Linked DNA regions of Tribolium castaneum. The protein of the gene in region 1 binds, or shares a complex with, the protein of each later gene. Links are inferred from orthologs where the notes say so. Each region holds a gene or a part of one and is shown in the gene's direction. Other genes may lie near its edges.

Evidence for each region. Proteins that work in one complex are often made in the same cells at the same time.
Region 2: the proteins of Bulli (region 1) and Ccz1 are in contact, whole or in part, in a cryo-EM structure (PDB 8JBE), measured with the Drosophila melanogaster proteins. The link is inferred for Tribolium castaneum from reciprocal best matches to the Drosophila melanogaster genes Bulli and Ccz1. Residues at the interface, in NP_648047.2 of Drosophila melanogaster: Tyr395, Gly397, Phe407, Tyr464, Ser467, Met470, Leu471, Gln474, Asn477, Asn498, Arg499, Asp502, Thr503, Arg505, Arg506, Leu507, Tyr510, Met512, Asp530, Thr531, Ala532, Gln535, Ile538, Asp539, Arg543, His547, Ile550, Lys559, Asp562, Leu566; in NP_647835.1 of Drosophila melanogaster: Tyr188, Leu189, Pro190, Leu191, Asp192, Lys193, Thr194, Phe196, Leu197, Arg198, Gln200, Asn201, Glu207, Val223, Leu224, Cys225, Gly226, Lys228, Tyr342, Asn385, Gln387, Ser388, Pro427, Ala428, Asn447, Tyr448, Arg449, Asp479, Phe483, Lys485.

What each region holds. Positions count from the first base shown.
Region 1 is NC_087394.1:22,495,151-22,500,376, forward strand, and holds the end of Bulli (regulator of MON1-CCZ1 complex), read left to right. Parts: intron 1-1,978; coding exon 1,979-2,135; intron 2,136-2,185; coding exon 2,186-2,355; intron 2,356-2,407; coding exon 2,408-3,077; intron 3,078-3,128; coding exon 3,129-3,184; 3' UTR 3,185-3,244; downstream 3,245-5,226. Other genes in the region: Vps8 (vacuolar protein sorting-associated protein 8 homolog), read right to left, coding at 3,323-3,615. UniProt on the Drosophila melanogaster protein: Positive regulator of the Rab7 guanyl-nucleotide exchange activity of the Mon1-Ccz1 complex, possibly by enhancing its endosomal membrane association.
Region 2 is NC_087394.1:35,478,512-35,484,952, reverse strand, and holds Ccz1 (vacuolar fusion protein CCZ1 homolog), read left to right. Parts: upstream 1-2,571; 5' UTR 2,572-2,629; coding exon 2,630-2,704; intron 2,705-2,748; coding exon 2,749-2,846; intron 2,847-2,893; coding exon 2,894-2,987; intron 2,988-3,034; coding exon 3,035-3,241; intron 3,242-3,287; coding exon 3,288-3,463; intron 3,464-3,517; coding exon 3,518-3,807; intron 3,808-3,853; coding exon 3,854-4,255; intron 4,256-4,303; coding exon 4,304-4,362; 3' UTR 4,363-4,456; downstream 4,457-6,441. Other genes in the region: mini-chromosome maintenance complex-binding protein, read right to left, coding at 173-370, 418-585, 634-877, 942-1,121, 1,174-1,730, 1,775-1,873, 1,924-2,106, 2,156-2,245; uncharacterized protein LOC655748, read right to left, coding at 4,523-4,786, 4,934-5,256, 5,310-5,640, 5,843-6,298. UniProt on the Drosophila melanogaster protein: Part of the Mon1-Ccz1 guanyl-nucleotide exchange factor complex specific for Rab7 that promotes the exchange of GDP to GTP, converting Rab7 from an inactive GDP-bound form into an active GTP-bound form.

The sequences.
Region 1 (5,226 bases):
AGTTAATAAACTGTAAAATTTTATGGTTAAGTTTTGACAATTTCAAATACCCACAACTTAATTTTTTCAAATAAAATGTCCCAATTTTTATTTTAGTAACAAAATTTCTGTACACTGTAAACAAAAATGTCGGTTGCCGTTTAAAAAAATAACAAAATGACGTCTTAACTCAAAAACCAATGACGTTACAGATGTTACAAAGATGTCAAAATGTATTTTTTAAATACAAAAATAACGACTTGTTCAAAGATTTTTGTGCAAAGTGACCTACTACAAAAATATGAATTTTATACGTTGCTTTAATTTCCCTATAATTATTACACAATAAGAATTAAGATAAGCATTTTTTCTGCACTATAATTATTCATCTTAATAAGTTAATTAACATGACTTAATTGAGTCAAATGACCGACTTTTTACTCGTCAGTATTTTCGTATTGCACTACGTATTTTGGTTTAGGGTTTGTCAAATTGTCACCCAACTCTTGCTTAAGGAATAAATAAATTTCATTTTATTTTTCATTTTTGAAATTGATTAATTTCAAATTTGAAAATGCAATTTGGGGAAAAGATCCATCAGTATCAATGCATTTTTTTTAATTAAGTTTAATTTAAACTCTCTTCTGGAAAGTAATGTTAAATGTTACAAGCTTTTCATTAATTACAATAATTAATAACCTTAGGTAGAACTGATGGGGTGGTGAGTTGGTGCCGTACTCTCTAATTTATTTGTTCCTTATAATCGGTAGCATCAAAATTAATCGTTGTAAATTCTTGAACATTTTTAGTATGTGTATGTTCGGGCCAATAAGTAATAACTACTAATAACCCTGCTATTACGTGTGTAAGTTACGCAAAAAGATGATTTTGGTATAAGATGAGGAATAACGAGCAGTAAAATTGTTGACTACAGATTACTTTCATCTTAGTAAATTCAACCAATTATGCATTTAGTAAAAACCATAGGTATGAAAACAATATAGAGGGCAGAATATGTCATCCATTTTTTTATTGCTTTTGCATAGAGAATTAATTTAAAACAAATCATTATCTTCTTATTTTAAAATTAAAATTATAATTTCGTTAAAAAGAAAAAATATCAAATTATTCTTTACCTACTTTATGCGATAAAGTTCATTTTTGCTAAATTAAGGCGGTTCAAAGAACCCTTAATTGCAATCAAATTTTAATTCGCAACTAATTTGACTTTTGTTAGAGTAAATGATAAATGGATTAATGTAATGTTGAATTAGATTTTAATTCGTTTTCTGTAAACCCACTGTAATTCACAAATTTAATATCATTCATGACAATAATCAAATTTCACCATTCCAAGGAATGTTTATGAATTACGACATTTGTGACCCAGAAGTTTTATTGTTGTGGTTTGAGTTCCTGCTCCTCGCTAACCGGCCCGGTTTGTAGAGGTGACATTGTTTAGGATCGTGAATGTACCCTATACGAATCACTATTCCAAAAATCAGTTTTTTAGTGTTTGTAGTACATGTTGTTGTCCAAATAGCAAATTTCCCATTTCGCAATTTAATTTCACAAAGACAGCACCGATAGCACAGTTTGTTTCTCTTTATAAAAAATTACAATGAACTTAAGAATTTAAACTCGTAAATCACAACTTTGTAAAAAATGTTATACGAAACAGTAAAAGTTTCTAGTATAATTAGTTTAATTGTACTAATCTATCAAGCACAACTAGAAGTCAAGACAAAATGCATTTTTAATTTCTATTTTTTTTACTTGAGTTTGAAAGTTTATCAATCACAATGAAAAGGAAAACCCTACTCTAATTATAAATTAAAATGATCGCATGGTACTTTTGTCACCCAAGAAAATTTCGCAAGTACACCACCACAGTTAGCTCACCCTATATTTTTATCAAAATTTATCGCATGTAGTATGTACCAAATCGCTCCGAGTTATCTGCAGTTTTAAAAACATTGAATGTTCCTTCCGATCATAGGCGTCACGAAGCTCGCAAATATTCGACACCGCTTTACCCGGAGAAAGCGACGGTACAGTAAGGTACCACACGACAGTGGCGCCAGCTAGGTCATTTAAACCAGCTCAAATAACTCTGCCTGGATTGGTTGAACCTCAATCACACCTTTGCGAACTATGTGAGTTCAGCCAGCTGTTTTTTTATTTGACATTGTGTTATCAATTTAAGATTCTCCAAACTGGGTTGTTTTCCAACCGAATATTGTAATTGATGCAAAACTGGGGTGTTTGTGGCACATTAACTTGTGCTTAGCTGAGCTGTGTAGCTCAATCACTGACTTAGCCACTTGTACACAACTAGCGCTGAAGCGGACAAACGGCAAACCAATATTACTCAAAGTACGTTTCCTGTCTTACAATCTAAATTTAATCCAATTTTAAACATTTTTAGCTGCTTCTTGAAGCTATAAGACAACCTAAACCGCCTTTAGACAAATTGCAAGAATCCTTCAACCACATAAACAATGTCTATCGAGAGTGCCTGGAGGCGGAGCTGCAGTCACACACTGCCTCCCCTCCAGGGGCCCCCTCCCTGAAACCGCCCCCTCTGTCAAGGGTCCAAATCGACCAAATGGACATGTACAACGAAATTTTCCAAAAATTAGAAGCCGACAAAGATCTAGGCAAGCTCGAGTGGACTTTGATTAGTTACATGACGTCGCTTTTCGAACAAGGCATTCCAGCACAGCACAATCTGAACGAATTGCTGATTACAACGCTCGTGAAGCGAAAAAAATTCACAGCTTTGCAACAATTGCTCCAGTATGGGGTGGTTTCGGATTCCAAACCCTTGGCTTGCTTGCTCTTATCACTGGGTAATTTGCACCCAGCGGCGTCTCAGTTGGCGCTCGATATGTTGGCAAGACTGAACGCCATTGAGGAGATACAGGAGATTCTCTTGAGTGAGGGGCAGGTCTTGTCGGCCCTTAAACTGGGGCAAGAAAATGCCAACCCAAGGAAATTTCTCCAAGCGGCCCAAAATACAGGCGATGACGGGATGTTTCATAGCGTTTTGTATTATTTTAAAAATACGTCGCAGTTCGCGGGGGCTTTTAGCAAAGGTTGGTCATTATTTTATACGTTTGAGTTAATTTTTATTTGTATTTTTGTAGATGAAAGACTGAACCAATTCGTACAGCAGTACAACTCAACGTTTTTAGAGAAATAACTAATAAATAACATGTATATATTTTATTTGTACAAATAATAAAAATATAAATATCACAAATTTATACATAATTGCAGGTAGTAGTAAAAGAAATTTTCTAATGACGGAAAGTGTTAATATCCTAAGTAAGACTAGTACTTAAAAGTGGCCTTCTAGATCAGGCCTTGCGTGTGTCTTTGTTTCGACAGTATACTTTTTTACCGGCTGAGTGGCCGGAACTTGGCTCGCCTGCATTCGGCACTGTGGGCATGCCGTGTCATTTTCGATCACTTTGAGACACGTGACGTGAAAACAGTGCCCACAGCCCCATACTGCAATTGATTGTTCACCGCCCAACTCCTGACGAAAGACCAGCGGTTTCTGGCACAATTTGCAGCCAACATTAGTCACGGAAATCCCCCGACTGTTCGAACATAACGATTTCGCCAACTCTATAAAAAAAATTATTTCGGTCCAAACATTACCGAGGACTATAAATTGGGAGACGAAACGAGACACAGGTTACGATTTTCCTGTACCAAAAAATATAATACCGTGGATTATTGCACTGATCAAGTAATTATCATGCTTTCCACTAACTGTGCCACATCAGTGGCGTACGGTTTATCTCCAAAATAACTTGAAAAAATTCTTTGTAAAACGGTTATTCTAAGATTTTTTTTACTATTTTTCCCAGCATGTACTCATTCGATACTACCATGGGTAGAATTTTGTCGGTCTATTTAAGAATTTAAGATTAGTTGAAATATTTTTATAATAAAATTAGTATTGAATTTAATTCCTCGCACTTTTTTATCTTCAACCATATTAAATGTAATAAAAGTAGTAATGTTTTTATTATTGTTTTTGATAGTGTTTGCACTATCTTTATGTCTGGGTAGGTATGTACTAAGTTTTGAAATTAAAACTACTTTTCCATTGCAATTCTTGCTGATGAAACAAATAATTTCTATTAAGTTCTTTGATCAGTAATCTCCCGCTTAGCACTATACTTTCCGATATTTCTTTATTTTTTCTGCTAAGAAAGAGCTTTTATTGTTCGAAGAATTATTTTATCGAATTTAACTTGACTTGATAAATTAGTTCATTTAAAAAGATAAGTCAAGGTAAAACAATATAAATTAATTTAAAAAATTCATGTCAGAAATTTGAAGCAGATTAATATTAAATTTGACAATTTGAAAAACAAAGCCAGAAAATTAGCTGCGGGGAAAATACATACTTACGGGGCACAGAGAAGAACCATTTTAAAGCACAGATTCAGATTCCGCGATTGAAGCTGTTTAAAAATAAAAAAAATACAGAAAAAAGGAGATTATACAGCCTGTATCAGAACTCACTCCCCACCGGAAATGTGCGTATAGTTTGAGCAATTCTGAAACTAAAGTTCCTTCACAAAAAAATTCTAACTCTGTGTTTGGGAGATAAGAACGTTTGAAAATAACCATTCACAAAAGGCCTTGCTCTAGAGGACTAGGGGAACAAAACACGTTGCTAGGAAAACAAAAAATAGGTAGAAGCGACAATAAAAGTGGGCCCTTGAATTAATTTTCATTCCTTACTAACGCATCTACTGTATGCACTACACCTAGGAGAAAGCTTCTGGGATTGGTCACTTTTGAGACCTCTGTATTTCGCAAACAAAGAATAAAAGACCTACTTTTTTTGCATTTTTGCCATCTCTGTTGCTGTTACCAATAGCACCTTTCCGGTGGGGAGTGGGTTTTGATACACCGTGTAGAGGAAGAACTAAAAATAAAAATTTAGTGCCACTTTACAGAAAAATTAAAAAAACAGTTAAACGAAGCTTCTGGAATTGGAAATAAAAATTAAAGAAGAAATGTTAGAGAATAATAATTAATATTTTTTTATCACCTCGAAGAGTGCTCACTAATTAATGTTTTATTAACATTAGGATTTGAGTTTTCTTTAAAAAATATTCGTTCTCTAAATCATCCGCTTCATTAATACCTTCTATCCATTGTATTTTTTGCAATTTTATATTTGAAGAAAATATAATATGTAAACCAAGTGTATTTTTC
Region 2 (6,441 bases), about 13 Mb from region 1:
CGCAAATGTATATGCAGTCAAACCTCTGTAATCCGAATTAACTTTGCACTGTGTTCTTCGGATTAAAGAGGTTGTACTGTAATCGTATTTTGTTTGGTTGTTTATTGAAACAATGTTTAAAAAGTGACAATTTATTATCAGAAAATAGAAAATAAAAACCACATCTTTTAAATTATTTCTCGGAACTGCGATTCTTTATTCTTTCTTTTCGGGCTTCTTCCAAGGCACACGCTTTCTTCCAACATTCCTCATCCAAGGTGTTTCTTCCTTGTGAGATGCAAACAAGTCTCGCCAAAACAAGGAGACTGTGAAGATCGTCTCCTGTGATGTTACCAGCTTGTCTCATTTCAACAAACTTATTTTGGACCATCTACAATTTTTTTTTCCTGATAATTGACACCAAAAAATGCAATTTACCTCAAGCACACCGTCTGATAAGTCATATTGGGTCAACCGGGCGTTAGTTAGATAAAGTCGAATATCATTTAGCAGCTCAGGTTTGAGGAAATGTTTTGCCGCTTCCAGAATCTCGCTGAAAGTCTTTAAATGCATTTCTTCTGGTTTGAGAATTACATGAACATCGCTCTAGAAAAATTTTTTTCAAAACTGTTTAACAAAGTGATAAGTACAAACCGGCAGCATTGATTTGCCTTCAGAAAACACAAGAAACGGAATATCACAATCATACTCGAGCTGATAGTACGTGAAATCGTACATGATTTTTTGGTTCTTGATGGTGTTTGAAAGAGCGCGAACTCCGGTAACTCCGCCCTCGTTTAATTTTCCCGGAGTTAGTTTCGTCTCGTCCAACACCAAATGAGTATTATCACTTAATTGCAAAACACTACTTGTTAAACGATCCGAACTGTAGTCTTTTCTTCAAAAACAAGCCAAGAAGAATCATTTTACACAAACTGAAATAACGGTGCTACGGAACTTACTTTGGAACAAAATTGAGCTCATTCATATTCTCGAGCAACATCGGCAAATAATGACTTTTGGTAGTGAGGGTCTCTACAAACTTGTAAATTTCCTGGACATAATCAATGTTTTCAAGCATTGGGACGTTGGAAATGTTTAAGGAAAATTTTCCAAGTGCCATTAAATCTTTCCGCAAGTAGCTAAAAGTCTACACGTGAAAAATAGCAGAATCAAATGTGCGAATTCCCTTACACTTTAGAAATGAAGTGGTAAATTAAATACTCGGCTGCCAATTCATCTCCACACATTAATTGTGTTAATAGAATCAAAAGTTCTTTTCTAATGATCTGCATTTTATCAGCGCTCATTTTTTCGTGCGTAACTAATGGATTATTGTGAGTCAATGATTTGAACGACACACAATGAATTCTAGGAATTAAACACGGAGGAGGATTGTGAATTTGAGACTCCAGACCGTTCATATCATCATCAATGTTAGCCCCTAAAAGCGGATTGAGGGACAAAAAGCCCACAAATTCACAAATTGAGTTCAATTTAATCTTGTCCATGTCTTTGTATACTTTTAAGTGGCATACTTTGCCAGACGGATTGGGGATTGGGAAATTTAAAAGGTACTCTTGGGAAACAACAGGTGTTGTTTCTGCAGGTTGTGCTGACTGATTACATGGGCGCTTGTTAGAGTTTGATGGTTCAGTTGCACTAGCGACTTCCATTTCTTCAACGGGTCGTTTTAAGTGCACTGAAGTTGAAGAGCTTGTAGACGGTAGTTTGTACCTGTCCTCCTCAAGCTAATTTTTTTATTACACAACCCCTCAATTAAAACAATACTCACTTTATGAACCCATGGATTAATACCAGGGATTGAAATTGCAACGTAAACATGCCGCTCACTTGGAGTGGTTGAGGGACATTCCTCAATGGTTTCATTAGACTGTCAACACATACTCAGCCCCCGAATAGCTTTCAAAAAATTACTCTTACCTTACAGTCTGCACCATCAACGTATTTGCCGTATTTAATAGTACTTTCTGCAGTTTCAGTGTTTGTAACAGTGAATTTTTCCAAGTAGAGTTCGGGACCGTGCATATCCTGTATCATGCCCTGGAAGCGAACCAGTTGCCAGTCTTGGAAATTGTGCAGCTCGTTTGCATTCAACAGTGGAATCTAACAATGTACAAAGTGTTCAAAAATTGTAAAAGTGTAACTTTCTAACCTGATTCCAGATTTGTTCGTTTTGAAGTAATTCCGAATATTTCGTTTCGTTTAGGTACCATTGGTCGGGCCTACAGTTTAATAAGTCCATTTTTGCACTCGTTATTATTATTTTTAAAGAAAAAGGAACACCCGAAAATAACCTCGAAAAAGGGTTACACTTTTTGGCGCCAAATTATATGTCAATCTTTGCGTTGCAACTTGCAATTTCCCTAATCCCAAACAACTTTAAAAAATATTAAAGACACTTGAGGAAGGAATAATTATACAATAGATATGCTCTAGTTCTAAAACTGACGGCAAAAGTAGGTACTTTGGTACCTGTCCGCGTATTTTTAATGTTTGAGATGTATGGCAAATGAATAATATGGATCAATGGATATTGCTAAACATAACATAACCTAGTAAAAATTTTGGACTTGAAAAATTTGTTTCTAAAAACATAATATTATTCAATAAGTTTCGAACCGGAATTATGAGTAAAAACAAAGACGTGGAGTTAAAAAACTTTTTTATTTTCAATTCTCTATATGGCCCCAAGGAAGGGGAGGTGCGTACGCCCCTTTTAGAACACAATCACAATGTCTTTTCCAGGAACTGAAAAAAATTCTTTATTATTATCCAATATCTGACAATGCCGATGTACAAATAAAGAATGTGGGGTTAGTTGAGGGGATCATTCAATTCACTGGGTAAAGTGTTTGAGATAAGGGGCAAAAAACTGTAAGATTTCTTGTAGCACATTTAAACCAAGCACTCCAGTGAATTCACTACATACGCAAAAAATGCGTCAATTGTATTTCCAACCAGAAAAAAATATGTGGATTGTTTTGGTATTTACACATCTTTAATCAATACTTTTAAGCACTAAATATTATAGACGTTAACTTTACCAACCGAAGTTAAGGGGAAGGACAGTTCAACTCAAATCGAATATCTCGAGGATGATGTACAAGACAATGTTTACGAAGCCGTCTTAAAACAAGCCTATTACACGTATAGACTTTTCTGGGGCACTTTTGAACACACGATTGAGAACCACGATGTGGGCACACTTAAAACAAGACTTGAAAGTTTCTATAAAGCTGTAAGTTAACAAGATTATTTAAGAAATTTTAATTTATACTTCACAGTATCTGAAAACCTTAAAACTAGGGCATGCTGATATTCTGAACGTGTTCCACGGAATTCAGTATCTGCCTCTTGACAAACTAACTTTTTTAAAAGTCCAATGTTTTATCAATTCACTTGAATGCGAGTATCCCGAAATTGCGTACACAGCGTTCTTATACAACGATCATCTCATATGGTAATTAATTCAAATAACTTAAAACTTGTTTTATAAGTAATAACTAATTCAAAGGAGCGGTTTTGAACCCAAAGACATGAAAATTGTGTACCAATATTTAATTGGCACTTTACTGCCCGCCAACATGGAGGCTGAACTTCAAGGGGGCTCAATGCCCCGTAATTCTGTTTCACCTTTTGCTGCATTACATCACGGTCGTTTCATTACGGGACCTACAAATTTAAAAACAGCCAAAAATGTGGGGAAAATACCCAAAGTTTATTTATTTGCCTCAGGGAAGGCCGAGTCCTACAACTTGGTGGTTTATAGGGCGCTAAGTGCGTCCGTTTGTTTATTTATGAGAGGTTTGTTTCGTTTGTTTGGTTTTATTAAATTAATTGTTAATTATAGCCGACAAGGAGTTAAGTTTGCAATATTTCAAAGACATGGACGAGTTCATTAGCCCCAAATTGACTGCAATCGTGTCAGATATTTCCGAATATTGTTCCAAACAAGTGATTACGCCATCAAATGTCCCCGAAAACGCTCCAAGGTTTATCTATTTCAATAAATTGAATTTGGCTTACAAAAGCACAGCGCATTTGGATAATAAACAAACGGGAAACATTGCATGTACCAAAGAATCTTTAAAAATAATGGCTGATTTGAACAATAAGAGATCACTGTTGGGCCACTCTAGCGAGACGATAGTCAAAACAATGAATGACTATTGGGTTGTTGCGAAAAACTCGAATTCTAGAGAATTTTACGTGGCTTTGCAGCAGAAAAATGCAAGTCTTATCGACATAAGCGGTAAGTATAAAATGTTACGTTATTTTTTTATTTCATTAATTTTTGTAGAAGAAATAAAAAAATTGTGTGATACCGAATTAAAAGGCATCTTCTTCCACCCACTGTAGGATTTGGTACAAAAAAAAACACGATTTTTATTGCAAAAATCATTTATTAATAAGTGTACATAAGTAGGCAAATACAAAATAACTTAACACTAAATCCTAAGAAATCACAATATTGCAACTACCATGGAGTGTGGCGTTAAGTAGTATAAATGAGGTGAGATTATTTTTTGGGGAAGAATGTCAGTTCAGTGTGAGTTTGTGCGAACAAAACGTTCAGTTGCGAGTCCAAACCGACATTCTCTACCCTAATAACGTGAGCTTCATTTCTGTTGGGCTCTTTTCGCACCACAGCCAAGCCATAGACGCGCATCAATCTCTCGCTGCTTTCGTCACATCCTCCACCGGGAATAGCAATGGCAATGTGGCACATGACGTCAATGTGGACGTATTTCTCAATCGCGTGCTTGCCAGACTGCGTCTTAACCTGGAAATGATGAGAAAAATTTAATCTCTACAAAAATTAAGTTCAATTCCACTAATGAAAATTTTTCATTACCAACCCAAAATTTTGAAAAACGATCTTGCATTCTTTAAAATTTTCAGAAAATATAACGTTCTAGTTGCGACTTACCTTCTCCATTTTTTCCTCAATTTGAGGCTTGTCAGCTCGCCAAACTGTAGCTTCACCCAAAATCTGGTCCCCAGCTTTGATTACAAACTTCATGTCTTTATGAACGGCTCTGATTTCCAAACCGAGACCATCGGGATGGTTATCAGACCATAGATAATTGTCAGGGTTGAGCAGAGAGTCAGGTTCGAAGGTCAATCGTTTGGCATAACCCATTCCGATACTTAAAAGCTTCAAAGCGCGTCCACCAAACAAGTGTTCTTTCCTGTCACTTGGCCTGACCTTGTAGTGGAATCCTGGGATGACTCGGGGATCCACATAAGTACCTGAAGGCGCGAAATGAGTCAAACTTGAAATTTCAAACCATGCGGTCACCTACCAACAACGGGGAGTTCGTAGGGCTCCAGTCCGTGCATGGAATATTGAGTGGGGACGTCGTTAATGTCCCGCCCTTTAACGGTGACTCTCCTGTGTATTTTCTGGATGCCTGGGAGTAGGGTGTACCTCTGTTTGTTTATCACGACATTTTGGACTTTAACGATCTCGGCAGCCCCCTTGTGCTTGTACTTCACAGCCAGCGCCAGTCCGCTCAGAGGCATCGGCTTCGCCACTCCCGTTTCGTAAAACTCAACCTTACCCGTAAACCTAACATTGGCCCGTTTCTCGATATTTTGCCTGCTGTAAACATTACTAATTTCAAATTGAGGTCCCTGAAAGAGTGAGCATCATAAGAAAACGTCCCCGTACGAGTCATTCGTCGCATGAAAGACTTACACCCACTTCAGCTTAAGTGCGTGAACGTATGAGATGGCTCCGGACTGTTGCTGGATGTTTCTAACAAAATAATGCAAGGGAAATGCGCAAAAATTGCGAAAACTGGTCAAGAAAAAATGGGAAGAAGACGGTACTCACTTCCAGCTGTAGCACCTCCACGGTGCCTTGCGCCTCTTTGTTGATGTCGAAGATGGTGAACTTGTCCCCTTCGGAGATGACCTCCAGCTCGAACGCGTAGCCTTCGGGCCGGTTGTCGCTCCAGAAGTAGTTTTCGTTGTTGTTGAGACTATCAGTGGCCTCGAAAGTGAATCTGCGGGCGTAGCCCCGACCGATGCTTTTCAAAGTCAGGGCAGAGTCATTGAAGAGGCACTTGTGCATTGTGGGGTCTTGGCCGATTTGGGGCAAAGGCCGGACGCGGTATTTAAAACCAGGGACTATGCGCTTGTCGACGAAAACCCCAACTGCGGGCATTTGGTGCCGCTCGGGGGAACACACGGTATAAACAGCGGGGAAGTCCCCAACTGTGGACGCGTCTAAAACGGTATATGTCGGTTGTTGTTCGACTTGTTCCAATATTTCGGGAACAACTTGCTCCTATAAATAAAAATTTGGCTAGGTCACACGTGCATTTTTACGAATTTAATTTTCTTTTATACATTTAACTGGGCAATTGATTCGTCATGTAAACAACTGTTGCTTACATAAGTGGGCTTATTTTAGCGCCAGAACGAGGTACA